4 linked regions of the Alligator mississippiensis genome follow. The protein of the gene in region 4 interacts with the protein of the main gene of each other region in a pairwise test. Links are inferred from orthologs where the notes say so. Each region holds a gene or a part of one and is shown on either strand. Other genes may lie near its edges. The genes, in order: PICK1, CYFIP2, NUFIP1 and FMR1.

Region 1 (7,802 bases), on a different chromosome or scaffold from region 4:
GGCTCTGGCCACTTACCAAGAAGGGCTGAATTAATCCTAAAGATTTGTGGGTGGAAGCATGGGGGGGTGACATGGGTCCATTAGGAAAGAGGGGGATTCTCAGGGTTTCCAGGGAAAACTCACTTTCTTTCTCTCTCTCTTTCCCTTTCACGCACACCCATACATGCCGGGACGTAAAAGTAACTCTAGAGCTCGGTGGATTAGGGTGTTTTGCATTACGCCCTTTATTTTCTATTGTGATTATTTTCCTTCCCAGAATTCTTTGCTAGCTGGGTTCTTAACATCACTTCCTCTCTCATCCTTGCTGGTGAAGAACAGCATATCCATTCAAGGTTCCCCACTGAAAAGTTGGCAAGACCAGGGACTGACCATCCCATGGGCTCTAGATGTTACTAATTAGGACCAACATACAACTCTAGGCACCAAGTTCATAAGTGAAGAGCCAGCTTGGAAATGCTTCAGTGTCGGGCCAGAAATACAGAGAGGAGAGACCCAGGGAAATCGTTTCATCAAGGGAGGTCCAAGCTGAGCCAGTGGAGCAGGACTTGATTCATTAGAACACACAGCGATGGAAGGAGAGAGCAAATAATGGGTAGGGTCACACTAAGAGCCAAGGAAACAACCCCATTGAGTTGCAATTTCCAGAGCAAACCTAGGGTCGACACTTTTGAAAGTGGTGCCTGCCTGCCTGTTTTCCCTACACAGTTATAGATCACTTTTTTGCCTCCTGCCTCTCTGTATGGCGAGGGTCCAAGGGAGATAAATACTACGGTAAGGATTGGGGGCTGAAGCTACAGGACAGCACTAAGGGGACCTGCTTTAAGTTCAACTAGAAGCCTATTGGAAGCTTAATGAGACCGGTGTAAGTGAGAACAAGGATGTGGGCTTCCTGGTGCTGATGGCAAGTGCAGGTTACAGCAGTGGCATCAAATACCTGTCCATACATGATATACCAGGTGTGTGAAAAGGTGGAGTTGGCACCAAATAAACCCCTGTCCAAAGGGCCGACTTTGACCTTCCCTACATCTTCAAGCATTGTCCATGTCTCTCTGAGACAAAGACCCAAGACAAGGGTCTAGTATTTCCTTCTCCCAAGCAAGCAAGCAAAGCATCTTCCCCAATATTGTCTCCTTTTCCCTTTGAAGAGTAAGGGATATAAGTCTCACACACATGCACACAAATTCCTCATGGAGATCTCAGTGGAGAAATTTCTAGGCCCTGGTTCCTACATATAAGCAACGCTGCAGTGCTGGTTTGGTGAATCCTGGGCCATCACACAGACGAGCTCTCTCTGTTTCATGGGGAGAATTCCCACTGGCGTGGCAGGAATTTTTTTGGCATGCTGAACCTCTGTCCCTTGCAGTTTCCAGGAAACTACAGGAAAAACACATGGGGGCCAGGTCACTTCTTCCCAAGAGCCCAAAATGATCACCACTGCGTACAAGATGCAGCATCACTGTATCATCCAGACTGCTGAACTCAGCACATCTTCCCCGGCTAGTGAGGTTTATCACAAATCTGACAGGAGCCTCTGTGAGGGATGCAGGAATCTTCATGGAGGAGAGGAACCGCCTGAGGGAGGGGGAAGGGGTCATCTCCTGGTCCCACTGGGAGATAGCCACGACTAAGAAACACTGGCCCAATTGTTCCTCCTCTGAGGCTAATATCCAACCTGGGATGGGGGAAGGGCAAAGCAGGATACAATAAGAAGGAGGCGTTCATTTTCCCTCCCTCCCTCCAGGTGCAGGTTCTTGCTGGCCTCATGAGAAAGGGAGAATGGGAGGGGGATATTTTTTCCAGGAATGGGATTACAGAGTCCCGATAGCCCAGTGGCAAGGCATCAGTTGACTGAAACCCCTGCTATAAGCTAGGTCAAGAGTCAACAACAAAGGGACTCGCTTGAGCAAAGTGCCTGACAAGACACAGGACTTCAGGGTGTCCTACACTCTTTTTGGCACATTAATCAAAAAGTCCAGGGTCCTCTATGTTGACCCTAAGTAGAAAAAAAAATGGTGCTTAAATCTGATGGAAAGGCAGAGCTGGAGATCACATCTCTTCTGCATGTGCCCAACAATGTGGGAGAGAGAACACAAAATGACACTTCCCAGTGGTGGGATAAAGAAGCCAAACCACAATGACACTATTAGTATGAGGCATAGAGTTTGAGACCACCTTGTACTTCCAGTATTAGTACTTGAAATTTGGTAGCCTACAAAAGCATTTGTCATGGCCCAGGAGCCCCTGCACAAGCACAGAACAAAACAGCAGTCCCTGCCTTTACCTTGTGATGGAATCGATATGCCCCTGTCATGGAGCAAAGTCAAGGTAGCCTGAGCAGATCCACACATGTTGGCCTTTCTGAGAAGAGCTCTACGTAGCTTTTACCAAAATGCCGTGTCAATGGTTCTTTGCAATTAACTGGGAGAGAGGGTGTTTTTCTTCTTTCCTTCTTACTCCATTTCCATCCTGATTTTTCTCTTTCTCTTTGTCATCTCTTTTGATCCTTTCCTCCTTTTCTATGTCCAGTTTCAGCTCCCCAAGTATTCCTCAGAAACTGGAGTAGGAGCACAGGTGTTTAAAGTGTTTTCTAAGCATTTTCTAACCCTTTTCAGCCTCATTTTCTATCCTGGTAACATGTCCTGGTAATATGGTGGTGGGTAGCCAACGGGGATTTCTCTCTATCACTATATGGTGCCTTCTACATCACTGAGATGATGGGACACTGAGTGAGGGAAGAACAGCAACCATTTCTCTACTCCAGAGTCACTGCTGGCAACAACTTTCTATCTACAGAATAAAGATGTTACCTGTTTGAGCACCTCTCTAAGACTGAGAAACCTCCCAGGTCCATTATTAGCCACCCATCTGATTAAATTTCAGCAAAGATCTTTATAAGGGTGAGGGCCAGTTGGATCCTTTCAGGTTGGCAGGTATTTGTACAGCAATCTGCCTATAGCAGATTCCACCTCTTTTTCGCAGCTGAATAGTATTTATCCCATTATATCTGTACAGCTCTGATCCTCAGTCTCCTCCACACTAGCATAGTTGGCTCACTGGCATGGGACTTGGGAGAACTTGCTCTTTCACACACTTCTAGCATGACCGTGGGCAAGTCCTTTTCTCTGTGCCTCATTTCCCCATTGGCAGAAGGAGGGATAATAGCACTTCTCTGCCTCACATAGGTGCTGGGAAGGGAGTGACACCAAGGACAGTGAGGTGCCCATGTACCATAGTAGCAGGGGTCATAGAAGTACTTGAGATAAATACCTTCCAACGAGTGAGCTCTTAAGACCGAGGGAGCTTCTGAATATCAAGCCCCTGGCTCACACATCCAGTGATTCCTTTACAATTCTCTCTCTAAGCCTGGGGTCCCCCCTGCAGACCCAGTTCCAGGTCACCACACACACATCCCATTGTGACTATATAGATGTATTTTATTTGGGAGCTCTGCATAACCACCTGTAAGTTGCAGCTGTGGCAGCTTGGCTATTCCAGGACTTATGCCTGTGACAGTAAATGACACCCTCGCTCTGTGGTCTGTGCTGGCTGCCCGTTCTCTGGTGAGAGTGTACTGTGGTTGCTCTTATTGCAGATAAAGCACTAAATTATATAGAGCTGGCCTGTTGATGGGGCTTCCGACAATACATGTGCATGTGCAGTATCTCTGTGACATGCTCCCTTGCTCCCATCTTTCCATCTTACCAAATCTTTTGTGCCCTAGGAAGTCCTATAAGAGACCTATATAGCACTCCAGGCTCCTATGACTTCCAGCCCCTCTGCAAGAGAGTAAAGTTGGTCATCAACACAGATCCTGCTTTTAGCCAAGCATTAAGGAGCAAAACAGAGGAAAAGATTTGAACTATGAGCAAGCAGGGTGAATCACCATAAGGAGCCATATTAAGGCAGGATCCAGACGTGGTGGTGACACTACTGAGATACTCAAGGTCAAGTTCATCTCTGAAGTTACTAGGGATGGGTTTGGCCCAAAGAGCCCGTATGGTGTGTTACTGGGCAGGGAAGATGAAGGATCCACTGTGAAGTGGAACATGAAGGAAAAAGAATCTGTCTGAAGGGGAGAAAGAGGTGATTTTCAGAGAGAAGTGCAGACAAGATCCCAAAGTCCAGGGGTCCCTGAGGCCTTGCAGAAAACGTTTGGTGTGCCTAGCCCGTTTCATTGCTACCCAGCCTCTCCCTCAAGCTCCAGGGAGATCTGTCACAGATAACTGGGTATGCACCACAAATACCTGAGCTGCTGCACCCCAGCAAGAATCTGGGTAAATAAGACAGTGACAGCTTTTGTGCCATGTCCCGTCTCAAGGGCACAGGACTGGTATTGTCCCAGGCCCGCCTGGGAAAATGGGAGGGGTTCACAATGAAATCTTTCCATACAGTAAAACAGCGTCAGAGCGGGGGGGACAGACATTCAAAAACACACACACACAACAGCGAAACAATAACTCCAGTGTGTTGAGGGAAAGGGAGACCCATGAATTGGAAGTTTGATAAGGGTTTTCTCTCTCTCTCAACAACCCCTTCAGTTTCCCTCTACATCCCCCCCCCCCCTTGCCTTCTTTCTTGTTTGGGCCTTTAACAGTGCGCTGTCTTTGTTCAAGATACAGGTGAACGACAATCATGTGATTAACACACACACACATAAAAAGCTTTTTAAAAGCGTCCAGCTCGCCTCAGACCCAACGAGGAGAGAGGAGACAGGGCCAGTGAGAGCAGAGGCAGCAGCGGCCGGACTACAGGGCAGGGCAGGGCAGGGCAGGGCAGGGCAGGGCAGGGCTGTAGCTGGGAGTCAGCTCCCCTTCGAAATGGCTAGACCCCATCCTGCAACCGTGGATGCATTCCCTCTTGGATGGGACAGCCAGACACCCACTTCATCCATATGAAACCCATTTCCTTCCGAGGTGGGGAAGCAGGAGAAAGAGCTGGAGAATGTGGGTTGGGCTCTTTTAATTTGGGGAGTAGGTATTTTCTTGGGGCCCTCTCTCATTATTTTTGCTCCCTTTCCCCCACTTTTCACTCCCCCACGTCCCTTTGGCAGGGGCGGTGGATTGGCATGGATTTTGGCCGGCTGCCTCTCTCTCTCCAGTGATATCAGGAAGCCTCGCTGGAACTAAAAGATCTTCCCAACGCCATATCAGGGGGATAGCAGAGACGGCTGAAGGTTTGTCCTTTCCTTATGTTGATAATCTGGTGGAGGGGAATCTGGGTAAGTGAGGGTGGTACAGAGGATGGCTATCCCCTTCCTTGCCTCTTAAGGGACAGGAGGTGTCCTCCCATCTGTTTCCCATTTTGCTGGTCCACGCTTCAGCAATGCGCACACACCTTCCCAGATGCTACTGTGTACATAGGATCTGCCTTCTGCCGTGAAAAAGGGGATGCACTGGACTCCACTCCTCCCAGGAAGCCGGAGGAAGAGGGAGGTAGCATTTACACTGAAAAGAGGGTAGGGCAAAGGGGATGTGAGTCCACTGATTATGGGTTGAAGGAGGGCTAAAATTCCTTCTATCTTGGGCCCCAATAAGGGGAGAGAGACAGCCAGAGGGTTGGAGGGCAGAACCTATGCAAATAGGACATCAGAAGCATCCTGGACGTCCCAAAGCAAGATATCGGGGGTCCAGTGCTTTCAGTGAGAACTGTCTCTCTCCTCAGGTGTGTGGGTATCACTAGGCAGCACTATGACATCACACCTGACTGTCATGGAAATGGCTGTGAAGTCAGCTACCCTACCCTGTGATCTCACTGGCAGGAAAGAAGTCTGAGGAGAGGCATGTATAGAGAGAGACCCAAAAGATTTCAGTGACACATGAATAGCTGGGTAATCATCAAGGCAGTCAAAGAGGAATGCCAGAAAGGAACCAGACAGATTAACAGGGTCTCACTAAAATATTCCTTGTTGAAAGCTGGTCTGAGTCTGACACCCCCAAGGAGGGAGGGAGAAAAGGGACCTGGAGTCTGCTTTGGAAAATGAGCCTGTAAAATGTATGGGCCTGATCCTGCTCTCACTCCAGGCTGATACAAGCCTGTCTGCGCTGACTTAATGGAAATTACTCCTGCTTAACACTACATAAGTAAGATCATAATCAGGCCACATCCATCCACAGATGGATCATGTAGCTTATCACCACAAATCTAAAAATGACCTTTTAGTGCAGCCCCACCCCCACTTTTTTCCCTGAATTCGTCCTTGAGTAAAGGTCAAGAAGAACTCATGATGGCTCTGGGTTTCATGGGTCTTTCCCAATCTTGGGAGAATGTAAAGCATCCCTATGCTTATGATAGGCTCCCTGATGGTGCCAGTATTGCTGTGTCATAAGGCAATTCTTTTGTTGTGATGCCTAGTTCCAGAGTGGCAGCCAACCGAGAATCTGATGAACCACAGTTCCTAACAGACCCAAGGATCTTCCTATCTGCTGTTGGGACCTGGGCAGATGGGAGGTAGCCATGCAACAGCCAGATCTGCTCTGTTTCCTTCTGTATCATTAACAGAAAGGAGCCACTGGCACCAGTTCAAGAGCCTCTCAAAACCCAGGACATGGTCAGTAATCCCTGCTTCTCCCTCAGGCCCTGGTCAAGGGTTGGTAGCTTGAGTGGGCTCAAGCAGAGAAGAGTGATAGGCTCATTCAGGAAAAAATAAAGCTCCTGATGTGGCTGCAACCACATTGTAACAGCTACTGGCTGCTGCTCTGACAGCTTCAACAAGGAGCAGGTCCATGTGGCTGAATTACAGCTGTTTGTAGTGTTCCCTTGCAGGGATAGCAGCAATTGTCATGGGGGACCAGGTACAAACAAAAGGCATTTTAAACATGGAGGTTGGTTAGGCCATGGTGGATTAATTAGTCTCCTTCAAGGGCAGGCCAAAAGATTTAGTACTCCAGTCCCTGAGAGTGGGAGAATCAGATTGGATTCCCCATCCTGATCACTCCCTTCCAGAGGGACCAGAGGGTCTGGGAGGACAGGGGCAGGTGAAAACCACAGTTAATGGTTGTCACTGCCTCAGGTCAGGCACTTTCCTTCCTGATCTTTCACCTGATTTCCAGCCAGCCCAAGGTTAATGGAAACCAAACGTTTGCCCTACAACAGATAGTTCACTAAGTGGTGTAGAGTGGCAGGGGAGAAAAGGGATTGCCAGCTCAGTTCCTACTGGGATCAGCGTCTCCACCACAAGAGCATCATCATCAATGGTGCTAGTCAGTCTCTTTGTTAGCACTTCTACCCAAAAGACCACAAAGATGAATGTGTCTGTAGGGCAGACCTGAGGGACAACCATGAGACAGTTCACTCAAGCAGCAGCACCTCTACTGATGTATGATATCCACTGTCTAAGGGACTAAGAGAAATTTCCTCTGCAACATTTTTAATACGAAAGGGGGGAGTGGGGGGTTCGCTATGCTGGATGCTTCAGAGATGAAGGATGTGGGGAACCCCACTATGAGGGAAAGCAGGGAAGAAAATCAGTTTGGGCATCAAGATGTCTCTTTGTCCATCATCTTAGTTGTTCTGATATTTTGTGGGCAGGGGAAGGGGTTACAATAGGATAATTTCCCTGCATTACTAGGGTCTGGGAAGATCAAAGGAAGAATCAGTTGGGTATGTCTGGCTACTACCTGCTATAGCAGGTGGTACTCCGCCTCTCAGTCTCTTGCTGTTAACCCCCTCATGCCCTGACGGAGACATGTGGATTTGAGACAGGGGTCAAAATGAAACATCAAAGTGGTGGAGTCGGGCACTGTCAGGAGAAAACACGATTTTGCTGTGTGCCGTTTGAGGTTAGGTTTTACATGACCAGTGTG
Region 2 (7,523 bases), on a different chromosome or scaffold from region 4:
CAGAAACAGCATGGACAAGAGCTAGAAAGTGATTCAGGCTGTCTGCACTAGTCAGCTTGCTTTGGTCCAGCCGAAGAGACCCCTGCCCATGCCAAAACAGCTCTAAAAACTGCAGAGGGGGGATTTTACTGATCAGGGCACTCTAACCCAGCTGCCTGTGGTATCACAGACAGGGCAGCAGCGCCATGGGGAAGTGGGCAGAAAGCCTGGCACAGAGGACAGCAGCTGTGATGAGGAGAGATGGGCTTGTTTATGGCCACGGCCTGGCTCTTAAAGGATGCCCCACTTTGTGGCCTGTGCCAAGGACATCCACACTGCTGCTTATTTTTTATATCTTATATATTTCTTACATCTTATGGAGATGCACCACAGGTTTTCAAAGGATGCTGGTTTTCTACAGATTATGTGTCTCTCCTTCCAGATTTGTGCCTAGAGGCAGGTAGCGTGGGGTGCAGAGTACTTGGAAGTCGGGTGCAGAGAACTGGGGGGTTATTGCTGGCTGTGCTTGAACCCTGTCCACGGAGGTGACCCCCCGACACCCTGAAGGGAGAAGGCAGCAGTGGGATGGACCTTAGACCTAGACGTGGTGCTGAGCTGCCAGCATTGGGCTGGATGACTGCCAGGGTTGAGCTGTACTGTCTGCAGCACAGAGGGCTTCAGAGTGACCATAAATCAATGTAGATCTAGCCTCACAACCATCATGTTTCTGTGAAACCACCCTCCTTTGCTGAAGAGTCAGAAGAATAACTTCATCTGTGTGAACAGAGGAGAAGAATAAATTCATCTATCTCCATACTATGGGCAGAGGGAGGGGGTATACAAGTAGTCACTATATAGTGACCGCATGGCTGAAAACACGAGGAAGGGACGGAGCCAGGGGGAGAGAATGGGATTACAATGGACCGGGATGCAGGAGGAGGAAACATTCAGGATCGATCTCAGCCAGCGAGGCTTCTTCAGGCCCCATCTGTCCACCCCGACTCACGTGAAATAGGACTTCCAGGGGTGCACAGTCACTTTGCAATCCAGGAGATGCGTGCGGGGGGAGTGCAGCTCCCGGGGAGCCAGGCTTGCAGATCGGGGCTCCTGAGTCACTGCTACAAGTACGATTAATAAGCACGGCGCTCTCCTGCCCCTCTGCTACATCCCAGCCATGGCCAGCGGCCCTGTACGTGGAGTCCTTGAATCTGGACATAATCTAACCTCGCTAACCATCTTTTTTTTTGCTAGTCTAGAAGGTGCACCTCTACCATAAATGCAGACAAATAGGGCTAACTACCTTTCTCTTACCACCTCTGTGCTTTTGTGGGGGGGATGACTTAGCCAATATTTTCGTGGCAGGAGGTGACAAAGGAAAGGGATCCTGTGCTATTGTTTGGAAACGGCATTGCCAGAGTCCTGTCTAATTGGGATTGCTGGTAGATGACAGGGAAACATTCATTTCCTGGGAAACTCAATCTCACATAGGCAGAGAAGTGTAATGAATTGTGAGCCAAATGTTTGAAAAATCCCATCCTCCTTTCCTTGTTTTGTTCTTGTTGCTGCTATTGTTAATAGTGACAAGAACAACAATAATAGTTGCAGTATCACAGATTTGGGCTGCTCAGGCCGGGTTTGCTGGACAGACGCCGGCCCCACCGAGCAAGGTGCTGCGTGGTTCCTTTCGGCTTCCCTAAGGAAAATCAGCGGGAGGCATGAAGAGCTAAACTCTTCTCTCCAGGCAGCACCGCTGGATGGACGTGGGTTGAACAGACAGCAGGATTTAGCCCAAGTAATCCATCCCGGTGACCAGCATCTGACAGCTCTCCTCACCTAAGCCACCAGCAGCTGGTTCTTTCTGCTTCCCGTGTACAGCGGGCTGGCTCAGGTGGCTCGGCCGGCCCATAATCACTAGAGATCCCTCGGATCCAAAAACCACCGCCCCAGACCCCCGTGCTGAAAGCAGCAGATGGCTCGAGGGAGCCCAGTGAGGCTGCCCCTTGCTAAGGCTCTTTTCCCCTCTGAAGCATCAAGGTTTGTCCTGAATTCCCACCGCCAAGCAAATGCACAAACAACTCCAAGCCCCCGAGCACGCACAAAGGTCTCCGTTCGCCTCTCCCACCCCACCAGACCCCCTCAGCCTGCAGGCATTGCCTGCAACACCCACGGCTCCTTCCCTCACCCCGGGACCCGGCCGGCACCAAAGAGCTTGGGCTGGCAGGGGCGAGTGGGCAGGGACAGGTCTGCAGGCCCAGGCGGGGTCTCCAGGAGGGATGCTTCCATGGGACCCCAGCATCCAGGGGCTCCCTGGAGGGAAGCGCTCCCCGTACCCTCCTTAGGGAAGCAGGCAGCACCTTGCCTTCTGGGGCCAGGCCCTGGCTGACAAAGCCAGCACCGAGGAGCCCAAATGCAGTCATCCTCGCTGCTGCTACAGCTGCTGTGCTGGTTCCTTGGTGCTCCAGGCCCTGGCCAGACTCCTGCCCCACCTCTGCTGGGTCTGACCATGCCCATGCCCATGCCCGGTTCCCCTGCCCTCCAGCCCCATCTCTGCTGGGCCTGAACATGCCCATGCCTGCTTCCCCTGCACCCCAGCCCCTCTGCCCCATCTCTGCTGGGTCTGACCATGCCCATGCCCGGTTCCCCTGCCCTCCAGCCCCTCTGCCCCATCTCTGCTGGGTCTGACCATGCCCATGCCCGGTTCCCCTGCCCTCCAGCCCCTCTGCCCCATCTCTGCTGGGTCTGACCATGCCCATGCCCGGTTCCCCTGCACCCCAGCCCCCCTGCCCCATCTCTGCTGGGTCTGACAGTGGCCATGCCCAGCTCCCCTGCCCTCCAGCCCCATCCCTGCCTCTCCCACGCCCCAGGCAGGCTCTGGTCCTCCGGGCCCCTCCAGCCCCGGCAGCCGGGAGCATCCTGCTTGCCGCGGGATGGAGCGGGGGAGCCGCTTACCTGCGCCGCGGGGCCGGGCCGGGCCGGGCCGGGCCGCGCCGGGAGGAGGATGCTGCAGCCGCCGCCTCTGCTGCTGCAGCCGCTGCCGGTGCGTGCGCGTGTGCGCGTGTGAGCGAGTGTGAGCGCCTCCGTGTGTCACACAAAGAGAGGAAATGGCTGCAGCAAGTGCACTTCCTCGGCTCTCCGCTGCGCCCGGGCACCGGCCCCTGCAGCATCTACCTCTGCAGCATCTACCCCTGCCCCTACATCACCTACCCCTGCCCCTGCAGCATCTACCCCCTGCCCCTGCCCCTACATCATCTACCCCTGCAGCATCTACCCCTGCATCTACCCCTGCCCCTACATCACCTACCCCTGCCCCTGCAGCATCTACCCCCCTGCCCCTGCCCCTGCAGCATCTACCCCTGCATCTACCCCTGCCCCTACATCACCTACCCCTGCCCCTGCAGCATCTACCCCCCTGCCCCTGCCCCTACATCATCTACCCCTGCAGCATCTACCCCTGCCCCTACATCATCTACCCCTGCCCCTGCGGCATCTGCCCCTGCAGCATCTACCCCTCTGGCCCTGCCCCCCCCCCCAGCTCTTCCCCCAGAGATGCAAGGCTGCAGCAATGCCAGGTCCCCGGGGACCCCTGGGGTGCACCCCTGCCTCCTGGTCCCCTTCCCAAGGGAGGTTGTGACAGCGCAGGTGAGGCTGGACTATACAAGGAAATGTAGGACACGAGTGCTACTGGAGAGCGGCTTGGCAAGGGCAGGTGTGGTTTCAGCAGGGGGGCGTCCAAAAGGGCACGGTGCCATTGTTGTGCTTTTGCCACCAGCCTCCAAGGTCACCTCCAGAACGGGGGTTCCCAAACTCGGGCAGATGGAGCACCACCATTTAAAACGATACAGCCTTAAGTACCACTGGCAATTTTTTTAGTTCAACCTTAAGTGCCACCAGCAAGTTTTTATCATAAAATAATTATAATAAATCTGTTAACGTGTACCACTCTCAGGTTGTCCGGTATGCATCCCGCGGATTGGGAACTGCTGATCCAGAATATGGCAGGACCTACGATGGCCGATGGGCACCTGCTGGCTCCCAGGGAGAGGATCCCCTAGAGAAGGAAGAGCCGGGTGGTACGAAGGAGGTCTCACATCCATCCTCTCTCTGCTCCTTGTCTGGCTCAGCCACCTCCCTGTCAAACTGGAGTTGCCGCTCCATATCTGCATCCACCAGATGGAAGAAGAAGTGGTTTGAATGGGTCGACTGCGTAACGTCATGTTGCATGGCAATCCTTCTGGAGGAGCCAGAGCACCTTCTTTACAGCCGTGGCCAGCTTCGGGCATCGTCTGAGCTTTTCTCTGGCTATCAGGGTGGTTCAGCACCGGGTTGGATTCCTGAGAGAGCATCATGAGCCTCCTAGAGAAGACGACATCTAGTCCAACCCCCCCGCCTCAGGCAGGATCAGCCCTTTCCAGGCCCTGCCAGTTTGGAAGCTTTTAAGAGCAGATTAAACAAACACTTGTCCAGGGTGGTTGAGACAGGATTGATCCTGCCTTGAATTAGATGTGGCCTCCCAAGCTCCCTTCCAGCTGTAGTGTACTGTGATTTTCTGATGGGCTGGGATAGCAACATCAATGACTAGTGCTAGCCTGGTCATCTCATCCACAAACACGGTGTCTGAATATAAGAATTGCTGTCTACTGGGTCAGTCCTTAGGTCACAGAATAGAAATATAGAAAATTCAGGTTGGAAGAGAGCTCAGGAGTCACATCTAGTCCAGCCCCTGCTCCGAGCAGGACCAGCCCCAGCTACATCATCCCAGCCAAGGCTTTGTTGAGCTGGGTCTTAAACACTTCCAAGGATGGAGACTCCACCACCTCTCTAGGTAACCTGTTCCAGTGTTTTACTACCCTCCTAGAGAGAAAGTTTTTCTTAATATTCAATGTTATGACCCCTCATTCTTGCATTGGGAGAGAGAGTCAATAATAAATCCCGATTTACTTTCTTTTTCCAGTTAGTATTTGGTAGCCCCTTATCTGGGTGTGGTGGTTTGTGTGCCAAGGTTTGCTCCGCGATGGTTGACCTATCCCAATGTGTTTTGGTTTCATCATCTTCCAGCACTGGTGGCAATCTGTGCTTGCAGCGAGGGTCGGTAGCCTTGGCCATCTGTCCGGTACAAGCCAATCTGTAGGGCATTACCTTGGCCACAGCATTGTGCTGCTCAGTGCACGCTCAGGTCATGAGGTCCAGGCACCTGCCCATGAGACGGTGAATAGTTTCAGTGAGGAAGCCAAGCCCGCACCTGTCTGGCACGTCATCTTTCAGGGCAATGTCTTTTCTTCCAGTAGTCTGGTCCCAGATGTGAGCACACACGTGTGCATGCATGCTCACGCACACACACACACATGCATAGTGCCATGCTAACAGTTGAGTTGGGTGCATTTCTCAACAAGGAGAAATGCAAAGTGCTGCACCTAGGGAGGAAAAATGTCCAGCACACCTACAGCCTAGGGAATGACCTGCTGGGTGGCACAGAGGTGGAAAGGGATCTTGGAGTCCTAGTGGACTCCAAGATGAACGTGAGCCGGCAGTGTGACGAAGCCATCAGAAAAGCCAATGGCACTTTATCGTGCATCAGCAGATGCATGACAAATAGGTCCAGGGAGGTGATACTTCCCCTCTATCGGGCGCTGGTCAGACCGCAGTTGGAGTACTGCGTGCAATTCTGGGCGCCGCACTTCAAGAAGGATGCGGATAACCTGGAGAGGGTACAGCGAAGGGCAACTCGCATGGTCAAGGGCCTGCAGACCAAGCCCTACGAGGAGAGACTAGAGAAACTGGACCTTTTCAGCCTCCGCAAGAGAAGGTTGAGAGGCGACCTTGTGGCTGCCTATAAGTTCATCACGGGGGCACAGAAGGGAATTGGTGAGGATTTATTCACCAAGGCGCCCCCGGGGGTTACAAGAAACAATGGCCACAAGCTAGCAGAGAGCAGATTTAGATTGGACATTAGGAAGAACTTCTTCACAGTTCGAGTGGCCAAGGTCTGGAACGGGCTCCCAAGGGAGGTGGTGCTCTCCCCTACCCTGGGGGTCTTCAAGAGGAGGTTAGACGAGTATCTAGCTGGGGTCATCTAGACCCAGCACTCTTTCCTGCTTATGCAGGGGGTCGGACTTGATGATCTATTGAGGTCCCTTCCGACCCTAACATCTATGTATTACCACTTCTGGCTCGAGGGGTGAATCAAGTATTTGGAGTATTTGTCCAGGTTTGGAGGAGAACCTGGAGGTGGAATCAGATTCTGCTATTAGACTCCTAATTATTTGCAAAGGATGTGGCTGTCTGATTTCCCTGAATTTGTGAGGAGCCAGGGAACAGGACAGTTTCTTCGCTCGCAGCTCCAAGCCTCTTCCAGACGGCACTCGGCCCTAAAGCTCTCTCAGAGGCCATATTTCCAGTGGTTTTATCTTAAAGTTTTTGCTGCCTTCCCTCCCTGCTTCTCTGGCTTTTCTGCTGTTGCTCCCCCACATGTGTACCTTCACAGATCAATACCCAGAAAAACTCTCTTGCCTACATTTTCCTGTGCTTGGGATACAGGTTTCTGTGGGTTCAACATCCTGACTGCTGTAAGCATCTGGGTGGCTTTATTCAACCATTTTAAACCCTGCAGATTCACAGTCGTTTAGGCAAACCCATAGCAACCTCCTCCATCTTAGCTCTGCAGTGTATCCATGGAGTCTAAACTGGCAGCGCCGTTAGCCAGCTCATCTCAGCAGAAGCAATTCAGCAAATTGCACATGATGCAGTCTGAACTACAGACGTATTCCCAGAGCGTCTCCCTGCCAGGATATTTTCCTACCACCAGTCCCAAACAATTCAGCTCCCAACTAAATCTTGGAGTTTTCCTATCCCTGCCTGATTTCCTTTCAGGCAACCAGGATGAGCCCTCTCAATGATCCCCTGAAGATTTTTTTAGTCGCCAGTGCTGCTACAGGGATGCACGTGCCATCCTCACTGCACACTTCCTCCCCTACCTACAAATAAGGGTGCAAATGCTCTAGAGATTTAGCCACTGCCAGCACCCCTCTTGGGTGCTGCGATGCTTTCCCTCTGCAGAAGTCAGCCTTCGTTGCAATACGCTGTCGTGCTCTCAGGTTTTTTGTATTCTTGCATTAATACCGCCCCCAAACTGCGAGCGGTGGGATCGGCATCTAATGCAGAGGGTGACCCAAGTCAGGAGCAGTCACAAGGGCCTTCTGCTCTGAATTGCACCCGTGAGATCACTGAAATTGTTTCCCTTTCTCACCCGGCCTCTGCAACCGTTATGCAATATTAGCAAAACCACAAGTACACTTTCTGCAGCTGGATCATATCCTTGCAAAACTCGGAGGCCTGTGCATGCCTGGGGAGCTGCTCGGTTCCACGCAACCCTCGTTAGTTAGACTGCCTGTGGAAATTGTCCCCAACTTTTTGCTCAAGGTAAATGACCTCTTTTTAAAACAACTCACACTTTGCTAGGTAGTCTGGACTCAGACGGAGAGGCTGGAGCGTGAAGGGGCAAAAGGAGAGCTTATTCTCCCAGTGAAAACATAGATCCAGCTCACCGT
Region 3 (7,675 bases), on a different chromosome or scaffold from region 4:
GCTGACAAGGCTCCAATGCAGCTCACCGCTCCTGGCCTTGCTGCTGCAGCAGGGCCCATGCTTCCCAAGCAGGATTCTTCCCTGCTAGATTATCACAGAATAACCAGCTTTGATAGGCACTCCTAGCCTCTGCCTCTTCCCCTGGCTGATTATTTTCCTTGCAGCCAGCTCTGGCTGCTACTGTTTTCTCCTCAAGTAACAAGAATCTTCTGGCTCTCCATTACACCTCCCCAAAGCGTTTTTCAAAACAAAATTCTTTCCATTTGAGGACTGATGGTGCTGGTGAACTGATCCACAGCACTCTGTAAGCAAAAGGTCCTATTATTATTTCACAAGTGTTATATAACAAAGGGACAGAGAAGAAATCTATTTCCCCGAAGTTAAACTTAACCCAGAACTGTTTAAAGCATACAAAGCCACCAGCTACACACTATTAAGCTACAAGATCTTTTGAACTATTAGGTACAAAGTCTACATTGCCCCTAGTCTTTATTAAGGGAAACTAAATACCTGTTAAAATTCAGATTACAACTCTCAGCGACCAGCAAGGTAGAACTTCACTACAGTTTCTTGCTTGAAGTGATAGAAGTAGAGCAAATGGCACCTAAGAATTACTCCTATTGTGGAACTGTTTTCAATGGAAGAACCATGGGACACTGGACGGAACAATGGGATGGAAAAACTGCATTTAACTCAGATCTGGAGTAGGAAATCCCTTAATATTTCACACAGGTTTCAAACCCAGATATGCTTTCAGCATCAGGGTCACCAACAGCCAATCCCATGCAACTACAGGCAAAAGTTACAGATTTAACTGGGACCTTAGCTTTACCTCTTAATCAAAAAGGATACTAATTAGCACTAGCACTATACTCCTTGTCTTAGATCCCAGTTAAGGTAAAAGTACTGATTCTAATGCAAATATTACCAACTGATACCACCCTTGTAGAACACGGATCCCCTCTAGAGATCTTCCATTCAGACACTGACCATGACAAACTACGGTGAGGTTACAAAATCAAACACCAAAATGAAAGAACGTTGACAGAAGGCCAAAAACATTACTTTAATATAGACTTCCTAAAAATAAACAAACCCAACCTGTGTGTGCTGTGCAATGTGTTCATCATACTTTTCTTGGTTTTTAAAGCCACGGTCACACGTATCACAATAGTGAGCAAAATCTGGTTCTTTTTTCTTTTTGTTCTGCCAAAAGAGAAAAAAGGGGGACAGGGTTAAAGAAATTGATTAAAAATATTGGCTCTTATTTTAAATAAAGTAACATGCTATGAAGAAAGCGTTGAAAATATTTTATATCAATTGGAATTTCAATACTCCAGATATCTGAAATGCAGCTTAGTCTGAAAAGTAATTTTAAATCAAACTACCATATTCCACTTCTCTCAGCTTTTAAAGTCAAATAGGTTCCGTTTACTTTTCTTTTTAAAGCATCAATGCTACCACCAACCCATCCCAAGCTTTGAATATCTAGGTAGACTGAAGATATCAAATGAATCATGAGAAAAAGATTCTTGCAGGAGGCCAGCCCATCTCAACAATAAAGAAGCACCCCACGATACTGAATTTAGGCTTACAGACACATCATGGTGCATGCGCCATGTGTTTCAATTGAGAGTACTCTGTACTTGAACTACACCTGAGGCTGCATGCTCGACATAACAATTATAGTGAGTACCTTCTGTTTGTAGTTTCCACTGCCAGAACGTCTGTAATACGGGGGTGTTTGCTCAGCTTGCCATTCTGAGGCAAAATGGCAGCTTCCACCTTCAACAACACCAGTTACCAAAAAACAAAAAGAAAATTAAAAAGCAGCAATTATAAATTAAAAGTGATAAAAATGCAATGTGAAAATACACCCTATTTCCACCAGGATTATATTTAAGGGAAGGGGGAGCAGAAGAAGAGTGCACAGCCTAAGTTAGCGCTTTTCAACCTTTTTTCATTTGCGGACCCTTAAAAAAAATTGAGTGGGGGTGTGGACTCCTTTGAATTGTAAGCTGGGTATTCGCATACTTCCGATTGATCTCATCTTCTACAGATCCCTTTTAAATATTGTACAGACCCCCAGGGCTACAGGTTGAAAAGCTTTGACCTTAGTTATTGGAGCCAACCTTTCCATAGAACTGCATAGAAGTTGAGCCTGAACGGACCTCCAGAGGTCAACCCCGCCCAAGGCAGGATCATCCCTAATTAAAATCAACCAAAACAAATATATAATCTAACCTCTTTGGAAAACTACTGCCAACCTTTATGCAACACAAGACATCGCACCCTAACCTGCCACAGGTAAAGCAGATGGACTGCAGCAACCAACATCCTGCTTCTGTAAAAGGTTGCCAATATGAACTCAAGAGACCCTGGGTACAGAGAGGTCTGCACCCCACATTAGAGAGGAAGGCAAAACCCCCCACAGCCCTACCAATCTGACCCTGGGGTAAAATTCCTTCCTGCTGCCAAATATGGGGATCAGTCTGACCTGAGCAGAGAAGCAAGACCCTCCAGCCATGAACCTCAAGGTTTATGCCCCAGCAGGAGCACTGGCACACCCCAGGCACAGGCGGTGCCACCAATCAGCCCGAGGGCTGCTCCAATCCCCTTCCCAACCTGCTCTCTGCCCCCGGTGGGATCAGCCACATGCGTCCCATGCACGGGCCACCCCCAGCCTCTGTAACTTGAGACAGCCAGAGCTCGCAGGACGGTGTACGGGCAGCGGCTCCAGGTGCCTCAGCACTGCTCCTCCCGCCGCGTACCTGGGGGCGGGCCCGGGTGCTGCTCCCCGTAGCCGGGCGCCGGCGGGGGCTGGTACCAGGCGCCGGGAGGCCCGAAGTCGGCGGGCGGCCCCCAGAAGCCGGGTTCCCAGGCAGGCGGCGCGCAGAACACGGGGGGCGGCGGCGGAGGATACCAAGCGAAGGGATTCATGTCGGGCCCGACCCTTGCTGCTGCCTCCACATGGACCGCCTCGGGGGCCACCACATTGCGCGTCACTTCCGGGCCCGCTGTAAACACCACGTCCCCCCCTCGTGGCGCAGAGCCGGCCAATGGGCAGCTAGTAACGTCATCGGGCGACGCCGGAAGCGCGGCGGAGTCTGGTTGCGTTGCGCTGTGCCGGCGCTTTTGTTATGGCCCGGGAGCTGATCGGGCCGGCGCTGCCCCCGGGCTTCCCGCGCTGCCCCGAGGCGGACCCCGACGAGGACTTCACGCAGGGTGAGGAGGGGGCGGTGGCCGTTGCTGCCCACCAGCCTCTGCGCTCCGTCGCGTTCAGGCCGCTCCCGGCCTCGGAGCGGGGCTCGGCTCTGGTTGTGGCACGTGTGACTAGGGCAGAGGTTCCCAACCCCCGGGCCGCAGCGGGTTGGCGGCCGGGCCGCACGAGGGTTGGCTACCGGACCGGGAAAGGCATCCGACTGAGTATAAAAAAGGGTTGGCTGCCTCTCCACGGTATGCCGGTCACTTCCACACTGCAGTTTGTTGGTCATGGTCGTTTTTGGGCCACAGCTTGCTGGTCCGTGATCTAAAAAAGGTTGGGAGCCCCTGGACTAGGGTGACTGCCCATCCCTAATTGGGCAGGGCAGTCCCAAAATGGGAACTTCAAGCCCTGGTCCTGGGCTGCATGACTCCAGACAGTATTTGTCCCGGATTTGCAGTATTGTGCAGGGATCTGGGTTTTCCATTCGCGGCACGAAGGTGCTGCTTGGGGCTGAGGGGAGCAGGATGCAGGAGGTGCTGTATGAACATGGCTGGGGATACAGCCAGGAAGTGTGGAGAGCAGCTCCCTGCAGGTAAGTCTGTGAGGGGGGGGGAAGGGACATGGTGGGCGGCAGATTGAGACCCCCACGGTGAGGCAGGGAGTGGGCTAGGGGGCTGGCAGCACTGCCCAGGGTGGGACATGGAGCTGGACGGAGGCACGGGTGGTTCATCTGGGGAGGGAGTACAGGGGGCAGCTCCCTGTCACTGCAGGCACATGTGTCCGTCTGTCGTGTCGTGTGTCCCCCCCTCCCCCCAGTTTTCTGCATGGGGTGGAGTTGAATGCAGGCTTGGGGCTCCCTGCCCTGCTGCCCTTCTCCTGGGAGCCCCATGCTGGCTGTACCCCTCTGGCAAGGGGCAGTGTTGGCGTGGACTTGTGCCCTATGCTGCTCCCGGGTGGACAGGGGGCACACAGCCAGTGCAGGGCTCCCAGGGAAAAGGCAGTGGGGCTGGGAGCCCCAGGTTCACAGCAGGCAGCCCACACCTGCGCCCGCTCTGCTTGGCTCTGCTGCTGGCAGGAAGGGGTGGGGAGGAGAGGCAGAGACATGTCTTGCCTTTCCATTTTGAAGTTAAGTCACCCTGCATGTGACAATGACCCTGCATCTGTGGCCAGTCTACGTTTGTGGCACGATTCCCCAGTGAATTATGCCCATGACTTTTTGCCATTCATTGGTGAAGCGTGCTGTAAATTTAGACTGTCCACACACGCCAAGCAATCTCCCACCATAAAAAGGACTCTCCAAAATTAAAAAGAACCTACTGGCTACAAATTTAGTGCTTGGAAATGTGTAACAGCTCTACAGCTGGTTTCCATCCACCTTTCATTTAAACATGTAGCCGGGTCTTGATGCTGCTGGCTCCTGTTGGAAATGTTCTTGTTTATGTTGTGACTTGCACGCAGACACTCCACGTCACCTTGTAAAGGATATTGAGGCAGCCTAGGGTGGTGTGGGACCTGGCTGAGAATCAATGGATCAGGGGTCCCAGATGTGTATACATACGCCCATGGAAAGATGCAGGGTGGATGTAAAGGTGCACTTGCGCCCCCCCCCCCCCCCCCCCCCGCTTCACCCAAACTTTAAAGCCAACTGCGTGTGGGGGTTAGCGGTCTTTCTGTTCAGGCAGTGATGAGATAGTCAATTGACTTCGTGGCTCATTATCTTCTTCCTGAGTCCTGCTAATCTCTCTTCATTCCACAGGTGTTAAGGATTCTTCCTCCCTTTTATGGTCTTGATCTTCCACTATTCAAGCTATTCTTTCTTCTGCCATTTTGCTGTCTGTTTGCCATTCCTGGTAATGAGTCTCTTCCATTTCACAGCCCTACAGATGCTTTTGATCTCTAGCTAAAAACCTTAACTCAGGTGTGGTCATATTAACTCAGATTTAGACATGACTGACAGTGAAATATTTGAGGCACTGCCAAGACATTCAAAAAGGCTAGATTTTGTTTTGTGAATCTGATAAGAGATGTACATTTAACTATAGTGACTGCAGGACTAATGACATGCTATACTTTATTCGTCTAGTTTGTTTTTTTTCAATTGATACATATGCCTAGCAAATTGGTACACATTCCAATAGTTTGCTGTGATCTTAAACTTAATAATATGGCCTAAGGCCCTTAGGATATAAGTAAAGCGTCTAGTTTCTCTTGAACTGGAGAAAATGTGTCACATGGTGATTTATCATGTATTCTGCACCCCACTTTTCAAAATCCTGGATCCATCCATGCACATCGCCTACCTTGGACCTAAATCTCATTTGCTGCACTGGCAATAGGTTGCTCTGTTGTACGTCAGTATTTATTGCTACTTTTGGCTTGCGTAAGGCCATCTTGTCAAATCCTATGCCATTTATTGGAGAGGTCTGTAATTATTCTTAGTAGAAAGTTTAATTGTATGTCTAGAAATAATTAGCTCATCCCTACAAAAGAAGAGCATTTTTTAAACGCACTGGAAAAGTGTGGGTGGTCTAACAGTAGGGTCCAACCAAGGGTGACCAAGGTATGGTCTGCCACCTGTATCTGGGTTGGGGAGCTGCATCATGCAGCCCACAGGGCTCCACACAGGACCAGAAATTTGGCAGCAGGATGAGTGGCAACTGCATTAATTGCCACAGCTCCATGTTCGTCCTGCCAAATTTCTGAACCTCTGGGTAGCCCCTGCAGGCTGGATGATATGACCTTGCATGCCACATCGGGCCTGCAGACCGGTCTCATGCAACTCATCCAGCTGCTGAGCCAAATGAGTTGGACCCTGCTGTTAGACCACCAACACCAGACAAGATAAAATAGGGCATGTTCATAAATGTCTGTGTGTTTGTGCTTGCCTGCATTTGTCTTATATTTGAAGCAGCCACTTCTTAGCTACCAGGATGCATAGAAAATGAATAACTTGTTTGTGCAAGAAAGACATTATCTTCACTGCAGTTAGATGACTTTAGGCTAAACTTCGTTCGTATCTGTGAGAAGATTCTGTGAAAGACGCTCTGGAATGGGAAACACAGCCGTATAATAATGGCTTTAAGAGAGGTGAACTGAATTCAAACTATGTTAAGTACTTTTAAATAATATCACTTTCCTTCTTAGTTTAAAGGCACAAATACACTTATGGGTCATGTATTTTGAATACAGCCATTGAAGAATGTTCTGACCAAGTGCTGTTTTAGTGGAAAGTATTTATTTGTTGAAACTCAAAATTTTCATGGAAATGTGTTCATTTGCACTATACGTTGTTCAGGAAAGGCATCTCAAACCCAGGTTAGAATTTCTCATCAAAATTGGAGAGAGAGGAGACAGCCCAGAGGTTAGGACACTCACCTGTGATGCGATCAATCCTGAGTCATGTTTCTTTTCTGCCCAAGAGGGTAGACACACAGTGCTTTTACACCAGAGTAATTGGACTTCACCCCAAGTAAAAGTGGAGTAGATGCGAAGTATTCAGCCTTACTCAATGGTAAAATAACCCTTCAGAAAGGCAGTTTCATCCAGGGGTCACTGTTTTAACAGTGCAAACCCTCTCCGTTGTCACCTAGAGGCCAAATGCTATAATAACTCCTCCTGCAGACAGTTAATTTGGCAGAGGGAGTCTGGGTTCTATTTATTAAACATAACTTTGATAAACTTATTGTGAATTTATTACAGAGTAAAATGTAGATAAATTACTCTGTAGTGATAATATCATGTGTCCACACCCTTTTTCAGGTTAGCTGGGTTCTGTAGCTACCAGGCTGTTGGCTATTCTAGGATGGGTTTCCTATTGGGGCTGTTAAACTTTGTTTAAATAATATTCACTAAAGCAAGGACTTGAACAACAAAGTTCCCAGCTTAAGGAACTGACACTAAATCTTTTGAGTAATGTTGCATGTGTGAGCATTGCCCTGGAAGTCACTGACACTATTCATGGAAGCAAAGTTAAATGAACAGCTGTTTGCAGAATTAGATCCTAAAGGTGTTTTTGGCTTATCAGGTCTTCAGTGCAGCTGTTCCTGTGTTTCATTTGTTAAAAACTACTCACTTTCAAGACTAGTTTGGACTTAGGCTTGTTCATTTCTGTTAATATTTTTCAGCTGTGTTAAAACCACTTTTATTAATGCATCTCCCTTAGATGAGGCCCTGCTGCTCAGTCTTATGAAGTTTTATATAAAACTCATACACACTAAGTAAGTAGTTGCCATTTGGACAAATAATTAGCATATCAATTTAGCTTTAAAATTCTATTCCTGCTCAATGTAGTTTGCCTTAAGCTGTGATGAACAGAGGGCATGGAACTGCACAGAATGTGGTTGCTGTGGCCACAGTGGTTGCTGAAGTGTATCTAGGATTTAAGTCCAGTGAGATGTCAGGAGAGGAAGCTGGTTGTTAGTGGAATAGGTGGAGGTGGTGCCCGAGTGGGAGAGGTTGTTGAAGTTCCAT
Region 4 (6,913 bases):
TGGACTTCAGAGCATCTGACAAAGCAGGCTTACAAAAGCTCATGCCTCTCTAAATGAGTTACTTCAAAATACCACGTTGCCCTAATTTCTGCCTAACTTCAGACTAACGCAGCTAACTACCTCTCTAGGACAGTGGTTTTCAACTTGTGGTCCATGGACCCCTGGGGGTCTGCAGACTGTGTAAGGGGTCCATGAAAGATGCTTATGATCAATCAAAAGGATGTGAATACCCACACTTACAATTCAAAGGGGTCCGCACCTCCGTTTGAAACTTCCAAAGGGGTCCACACCTCCATTTGAAATTGTAGGGGTCTGCAAATGGAAAAAAAAGTTCAAAACCACTGCTCTAGGAGAAGATAGCATGTGACCATATAATAGAATACTGCATCATGATACTTATGCACAAGGGGCTCAAACTAAAGGTGCACAGGTAACCTTAATTTTGGTATTTCCTATATTGCAAGTGCTTGATTTTGCATTTATAACATTTTGATATGATTTGTTTACAGTTGGCCTACATCATCAAGGTATCTTGTGGCTAACATTACATAGCTCTGATTTAGTGAATCATAAGCATCTGTTTTACTTTTAATTTTCAATACATAAAATAGTAAATCCTAGTCAGTGGCTAAGTTGTAAGGAGCAGACTTTCCCAACCTGTTCTAAAATAAACCCACACATCAAGTACTATAAAAAAGTGCTCCTTCCTGATTGCTGCTATCCCTTTCTGCCCTGTAGTTCTGCAGAGAGAATCAATCTTAATAAAAAGTATATAGATCAGGTTTCAACCCCTTTCTGCATGCAGATGTGGTGCACAAAACATATTTAAATATAGCACAACCTATTTTTTTGAAGTTCTGTAGCTTGCACTATTTAAAACCAACTGGCATGAACATGACATCTGCATCTGGAATGGATTTTAGCATGGGATGCCCATGCAGTCAACCTCACTCTCTCACCTTCCTTCACCTGAAACCCTTGGGCAAAACAGGGCCAAGACAGCTAGAGAATGGTCAGCTGCAGTTCTTTAGGAAACATATACCTCCCAATGAATCAAGACCTAAATTGTAATCAGGGCTTGTGGACAGAGGTGATATCTTTTATTAGACCAACTGTCTAATAAAAGATATCATTTCCTCTAGACCAATATAGCTACAACCTGGATACCTAACCAAACTGTGGCATCTCCTTCGCTGCTGTTCTTCAAAGAGGCTGAGCAGGCCTGTCTGGGATATTTTAGGAATAACGTGGCTCACATCTGAGCAAAAGGTTGGGCTGATCACCCGTGACATCCCTCCACATCTTATAGTTTTCTGATAACACCAGCTTTCTAGACAGCTTGGCTACTGGATTTACCCAGATGACTGCTGGAGGGCCAGGAGGTGGGGCAGAGAGACAGCCTTTTGGTTAGGAATCAACCACGTTCCTCAAGACTAATTCCCTGGCATCCCCCAAGGCTGCACAACTCACCCATGGTTCCTAACAGCCCTAGTTAAATTAGATGCTATTACTATATATATATATATATATATATATAGATACATATATATATACATACATACATGTATATATATACGTACATGTATATATAAAAACAGAACTTAAAGCTCTTTTAAAAAATGGAAATGTGTTATCAAAACTGGGAGGCTACCAAGCTACTACCTGCCATCACAAACTGCAGGAGCAACCGTCCTTCACATCTACCTGCATTCAGAGACATGAGCTTTCATAGGCTATAGCTTGCCTTGTCAGATGCTAGAAAGTCCATTCCATCTAGGAGAGGAAAACTCAGTTTCAAAACTAACCCCTATATAGAAAATGCAACCGGTGACACAGTGGGGTGGATATATAAGAAATGAGGGAAGGAATATAAGAGCTTCCCATGAGGGAAAGAATACTAGAACTTAAATATAATACAATTTTATTCCTATTTAATTTTATTCCTAACCCCTCAGGATTGCTGTGCTCAGGCAAAGTAAATAAATAAATAAATAAATAAAAAGATGCCCCTAACATTGTCTCACCTAGCACTGCCCATTCCCCTGCTCTCTCCCTCTCCTCGTTTTCTGTATCCTAATTTCTCTCTTCATGCTGTTTCCTGCAAGGCCTTTCACAGCATGGTGAAGCGAGCTGGGGTCCACAAAAGCATGTGCTCTCTCCCTCTATGTATAGATATATAGATCTCCATGCGATTACGTCTTCCGACTGACTTCAGGTCCCGAGTTTATTACAGAACAGTCTGTAAATACCGATCAAATTCCTCTTCATCATTTACAATGGCAAAACTTACATAGCTGAAGCCAAAAATGCAGTTTTCCCCAAACTTTTCACTGGACCCAGAGTGAGGTATCCCCTCGCTGCGAGCCGGCAAGGTTCTTGGGAAAGATGATCTTTTATTTGACCAACTAAATAGTTGTAAAAATTGCTCGTTGCAAGCTTTCGGGCGTAAACGCCCTTCTTCAGGCACGCAGAGTCACCTCACCGCCGTGCGTGCAGCAGTGTACTTCAAAAAAAGCTCCAGCTGGCAACATGTTTTGCACTTGAAACACTAAGTCTCCTCTGTCCTGTCGCTCCTGACCCTCGTGGCCTGTCTGGCACCTAAATAATATTTCTAAATGATGTATTGTGATTTGATTTCCCTTGACATAAAGAATAACACAGTTGAAATAAAAGAGGTCTGACTTCAGACGAGTGCGTGACACCCTGTTTACACCTCAGCCTAGCACGTGTCACCCCGTGTGTATCTCAGACTAGTGCATGTGACACCTGTGTGTACAGACTAGTGCGTGACACTTGTGTGTGCCTGACTAGTGTGTGACACCGTGTATACCTCAGATTAGCGCGCGACACCCGTGTGTACCTTATTCTAGCGCATATGACACCTGTGACTAGGACATGCAACACTCATGTCTACCTCAGACTAGCACATGTGACACCTGTGTGTGCCTCAGACTAGCATGACACCCGTGTATACCTCTAACTAGCACGTGACACCTCTGCATATACCTCAGACTAGTGACACTTGCGTGTACCTCAGACTAGCGCACGTGAGACCTGTGTGTACCTGACTAGTGACACCCATGCGTGCCTCAGACTAGCACGTGACACCTCTGTGTATACCTCAGACAAGTGTGTGACACCCATGTGTACCTCAGACTAGCGCACGAGACCTCTGTGTGTACCTGACTAGTGTGTGACACCCATGCATACCTCAGACTAGCACGTGACACCTCTGTGTATACCTCAGACAAGTGTGTGACACCCGTGTGTACCTCAGACTAGCGCACGAGACCTCTGTGTGTACCTGATTAGTGTGTGACACCCATGCATACCTCAGACTAGCACGTGACACCTCTGGGTATACCTCAGACAAGTGTGTGACACCCGTGTGTACCTCAGACTAGCGCACATGAGACCTCTGTGTGTACCTGACTAGTGTGTGACACCCATGCATACCTCAGACTAGCACGTGACACCTCTGGGTATACCTCAGACTAGTGTGTGACACCCGTGTGTACCTCAGAGTAACACGAGACACCTCTGTGTGTACCTGACTAGTGTCTGTGACACCCCAGCGTGTACCTCAGACGAGCACACGTGACCCCCCGACACCCCAGCTCGGAGCTGCTAGCAAACCCCCCTCCCCCACCGCCAGGCCGCACACCCGCCGCCATGGCAACCCGTCTCCCCGGGTCACCGCCCCCTCTTCAGGCCCCGCCCGCTCCTGATTGGCCGCTCCGCGCGCTCTCCCATTGGCTACCAGCGCGGTCACTCACCAGCGGGACGGGCGGTGGCGGAGGGCGGGGCTTCACCCAGCGCTCGCCGGGTTAGGTTGCACCTTCCCCTCACACGCCCCCCCTCCCCTCTTCCCCTCCCTCCCGCCGTTAACAGGGAGCGGCCCTCCCTCTCGGTCACGTGACGCGGGTCGAATGTTTACCTTCGAGGCGGGCGCCCCCCGCCCCTCCCCCCCCGCGCGCCCGTGACCGTTTCGCTTTCATTTCCGGGCAGCCGCGGGCCGGGGCCGGAGCCGGGAGCCGCCCCTCCCCCCCACACACACCCCGCGGAGGCGGCGCCGGGCCCGACGCGACATGGAGGAGCTGGTGGTGGAGGTGCGGGGCTCCAACGGGGCCTTCTACAAGGTACCGCTCCGCCTATTGTCGGCCGGGCCCGGGCGAGGCCTGCGGGGCCCGTGGGGTGGGCCGCGGCCTAGGCCTAGTCCCGCGTGAGGCCTGCTGGGCACGTGCGCCCTGTGGGGGGGGGGAGGGAGGGAGAAGGAAGAAGGGAAAAGGAAGGGGGAGGGGGCTTTTTTTTGTTGTTGTTAGAAAAATCCCCCCCTCCCCCCTCCAAAAAAAAAAGTTCCCTTGGGTGGATGCTAAGGGGGATTTGCCTCCCTATTTAAACCCCTGAGAAGCCCCCAAAATGTCCATCCTCCCCTGGGGAAAGGGGCGGGTGGGTTGGGGGAGTCGGGGTGGGGAGGGAAATCTCCCGGTTTTAGGGCTGCGAGTTAATGAGCACACGAGGGTTTTTTTTATTTGTTTTAGGGTTAATGACTGCACGAGGGTTTTTTTTATTTTGTTTATTTCTTTTTCTTTTTAGGGTTAATGAGCAGATGAGGTTTTGGGGGGTTTTTTTAAATTTTTTTTAGGGGTGCAGAAAGTGAAGTTTGCGAGGGGTTCGCGCCCCGACGCGCTCGTGAACGGTCGTTTCGAGCGCTGGTCAGATTCGGGCTTCGAAAGCAGACAGGGTTCGGGATCAGGTCTCATTAAATAGCGGGGGGATTTTTCTCAGGGAGTTTTCGGGGTCGAAAGTTGAGGGGTTTCCTAAAAAAGCACGAAGCGTGTTCTTGGCGTGAACAGCTAGCGCCGGGATAGAAAGTTTGGGACGTGCGGACTTCACGTGGGTTTGTCCGGTTCGTGTCCTCTGAGAATCGGCGAATTAAAAACGCGCGATTTCTACTTTTCCATTTTGCTGGTTGAAACCTACAAGTCTTCCTGTTAATTTCACTGGGCGGTTTAAATCATGAGCTGAGTTTGTTGTGTTGGTAAGTATGAAAGCTTAGTTAGCCCATCCAGGTTTATTCATCTTTTGGCTAGAATATTCTTCTTCTTTCCTTTTTACGTTTTGGAGTACGTTATAGTTTGGTTTGGTGAAGAAATAAAAATGTAAAGGTTAAATAAGGGGTGGGGGGTTGGAAATGGCAAATAGGTCTCAGCCGTCCTCCAAAGGTGGCTCAGCAGAAGCATCACATATGCTATAACAAAATCAATCAGTTCTCTAGATTTAAAAAAAAAATGTTTTAAAAGTTTTAAGCATCTATAACCAAAATTCATAGTTGATCCATTCAGGTGAATAGTTTTCTTTTCATTATAATACCTGAGCACTGCACAAATATGAATGCATGTGCCTGGTTCGGTGTAACATGAGCCAGTATTATTCTTATCTTGGTGATTAGGAAACTGAGGCACAGAATGAACTGTACTGGCCGGCATCGCGCAAAGTTTGCAGCAGGGACAAATTCTGGACCTGAGCTTCAGTTACATGACTGAAGGGTAAACTGAAACATTTCTGTAGGCAATATCTTAGATGGATGCTTTTAGAATCATAAGAGTGTAAAAATACTCTTTATCCAATTTTATTTAATGGTGTGTTTATCTCTAGCCTTTGTTGTAAGGGCTTCACTTTCTTTACTTGCATCAAGGTGTAACAGCGGTATATATCTGTAGAATTTCAGTAAGGATCTTGAGAGTCTATTAAGGCAGTTTTGCAGTATGAACTTTAAATGCATGTCCCCGCTGCCTCTGGACTGCTACACTGCAAAGGGGATGTAATATCTCAGGGATGTAGTATCTCTGGCATGTCTATTGGCACATGTCCAAAGCCACACCAAGTGCCACATTACATCTGTTTCAGGACATAACACGCACGCGGAGCCTGTGTCCTGTGTTTCGCTGCTGCGCATCTTGTTGGTGTAGTTTAGCTGTATGCCCTTACAGTTGGTACTGTAAAATGGCCTTCATCCCGCTTTTAAGAACTGTAGCAAAATTCTGTGAATGTGTGCTGCTACTGTATTTTGGTGTAGTGTATGGGCAGCACAAGATGAAGCTCCACAAAAGGGGATTCATCTTGACCTGGCCACCTAACTTCTGCATTAGGCATCTCAGTCCAAAATTTAAATCCTTCAAATTCTGCCACAAAACTCTTCCATAACCCTTAAGGAGTATAAAAAATCTAGGCAACTAAAGTTCTGGTTTTTCCTGTACCCAGCAGCACCTCAGTCTTGACAGTACTTGACAGTTCTGAGCTTGACTTGTGTCTAACCATCATTGGGGTTAGTGGACAGAGGTGCTTCTTGGCAGCCTGTGATTTAGTTAGGTTCTTGACCCCTCCCAAGAAGGTGGGATTTAAGACCTCCTATCCTCAGCACTTCCTGTCACCCTGTTTCAGGTACTTCCCTGCTAAGTGTTCTAATGTATCTCCCTTCCGAGGTACCTAACTTTCCTCGGGTTCCTGTTAAGACCCCAGATGCCAAATACTACAAGGCACTTAAGTGCCTAACAGACTCTGCAAATGCTCATTTACCATGCTTAAGTCCCTTCTGGATCTAGCACTTCCTGGCATGAGTTGGGGGTGATCACATTACTCATGAATGGCAAAGCCACAAAGCGATATTCAGGTCATCCCAAATAACTGGGAGGACTACTGTCACATAGTAATAGTACTTTTATGTATTGTCTGTTATAAAGACAAATGTTTTAGAAACATTCTAGGGAGCTTTCCAAAACTCCTGGTAGTTTTTCTTCTTCTACCAGAATCTAAAATTGTGTTGATACCATGACTGATTGCATTAGTGGAGGGAAAAGAAAAATAAATCTAGAAAGAATTTTGATTGTACAGTGACTTTTGAAATGTAGCT

Evidence for each region.
Region 1: the proteins of FMR1 (region 4) and PICK1 interact in a two-hybrid assay, tested with the Homo sapiens proteins (2 studies listed by BioGRID and IntAct). The link is inferred for Alligator mississippiensis from reciprocal best matches to the Homo sapiens genes FMR1 and PICK1.
Region 2: the proteins of FMR1 (region 4) and CYFIP2 interact in a two-hybrid assay, tested with the Homo sapiens proteins (2 studies listed by BioGRID and IntAct). The link is inferred for Alligator mississippiensis from reciprocal best matches to the Homo sapiens genes FMR1 and CYFIP2.
Region 3: the proteins of FMR1 (region 4) and NUFIP1 interact in a two-hybrid assay, tested with the Homo sapiens proteins (2 studies listed by BioGRID). The link is inferred for Alligator mississippiensis from reciprocal best matches to the Homo sapiens genes FMR1 and NUFIP1.

The regions. Positions count from the first base shown.
Region 1 is NC_081827.1:99,868,083-99,875,884, reverse strand, and holds the start of PICK1 (PRKCA-binding protein), read left to right. Parts: upstream 1-4,783; 5' UTR 4,784-4,913; intron 4,914-5,050; exon of another isoform or gene 5,051-5,098; 5' UTR 5,099-5,173; intron 5,174-7,802. UniProt on the Homo sapiens protein: Probable adapter protein that bind to and organize the subcellular localization of a variety of membrane proteins containing some PDZ recognition sequence.
Region 2 is NC_081832.1:77,889,474-77,896,996, reverse strand, and holds the start of CYFIP2 (cytoplasmic FMR1-interacting protein 2), read right to left. Parts: upstream 3,011-7,523; 5' UTR 2,929-3,010; intron 1-2,928. UniProt on the Homo sapiens protein: Involved in T-cell adhesion and p53/TP53-dependent induction of apoptosis. Does not bind RNA. As component of the WAVE1 complex, required for BDNF-NTRK2 endocytic trafficking and signaling from early endosomes.
Region 3 is NC_081824.1:410,873,626-410,881,300, forward strand, and holds the start of NUFIP1 (FMR1-interacting protein NUFIP1), read right to left. Parts: upstream 3,017-7,675; 5' UTR 2,941-3,016; coding exon 2,772-2,940; intron 1,786-2,771; coding exon 1,697-1,785; intron 1,207-1,696; coding exon 1,102-1,206; intron 1-1,101. Other genes in the region: GPALPP1 (GPALPP motifs-containing protein 1), read left to right, coding at 3,141-3,225. UniProt on the Homo sapiens protein: Binds RNA.
Region 4 is NC_081831.1:75,853,902-75,860,814, reverse strand, and holds the start of FMR1 (fragile X messenger ribonucleoprotein 1), read left to right. Parts: upstream 1-3,893; 5' UTR 3,894-4,088; coding exon 4,089-4,139; intron 4,140-6,913.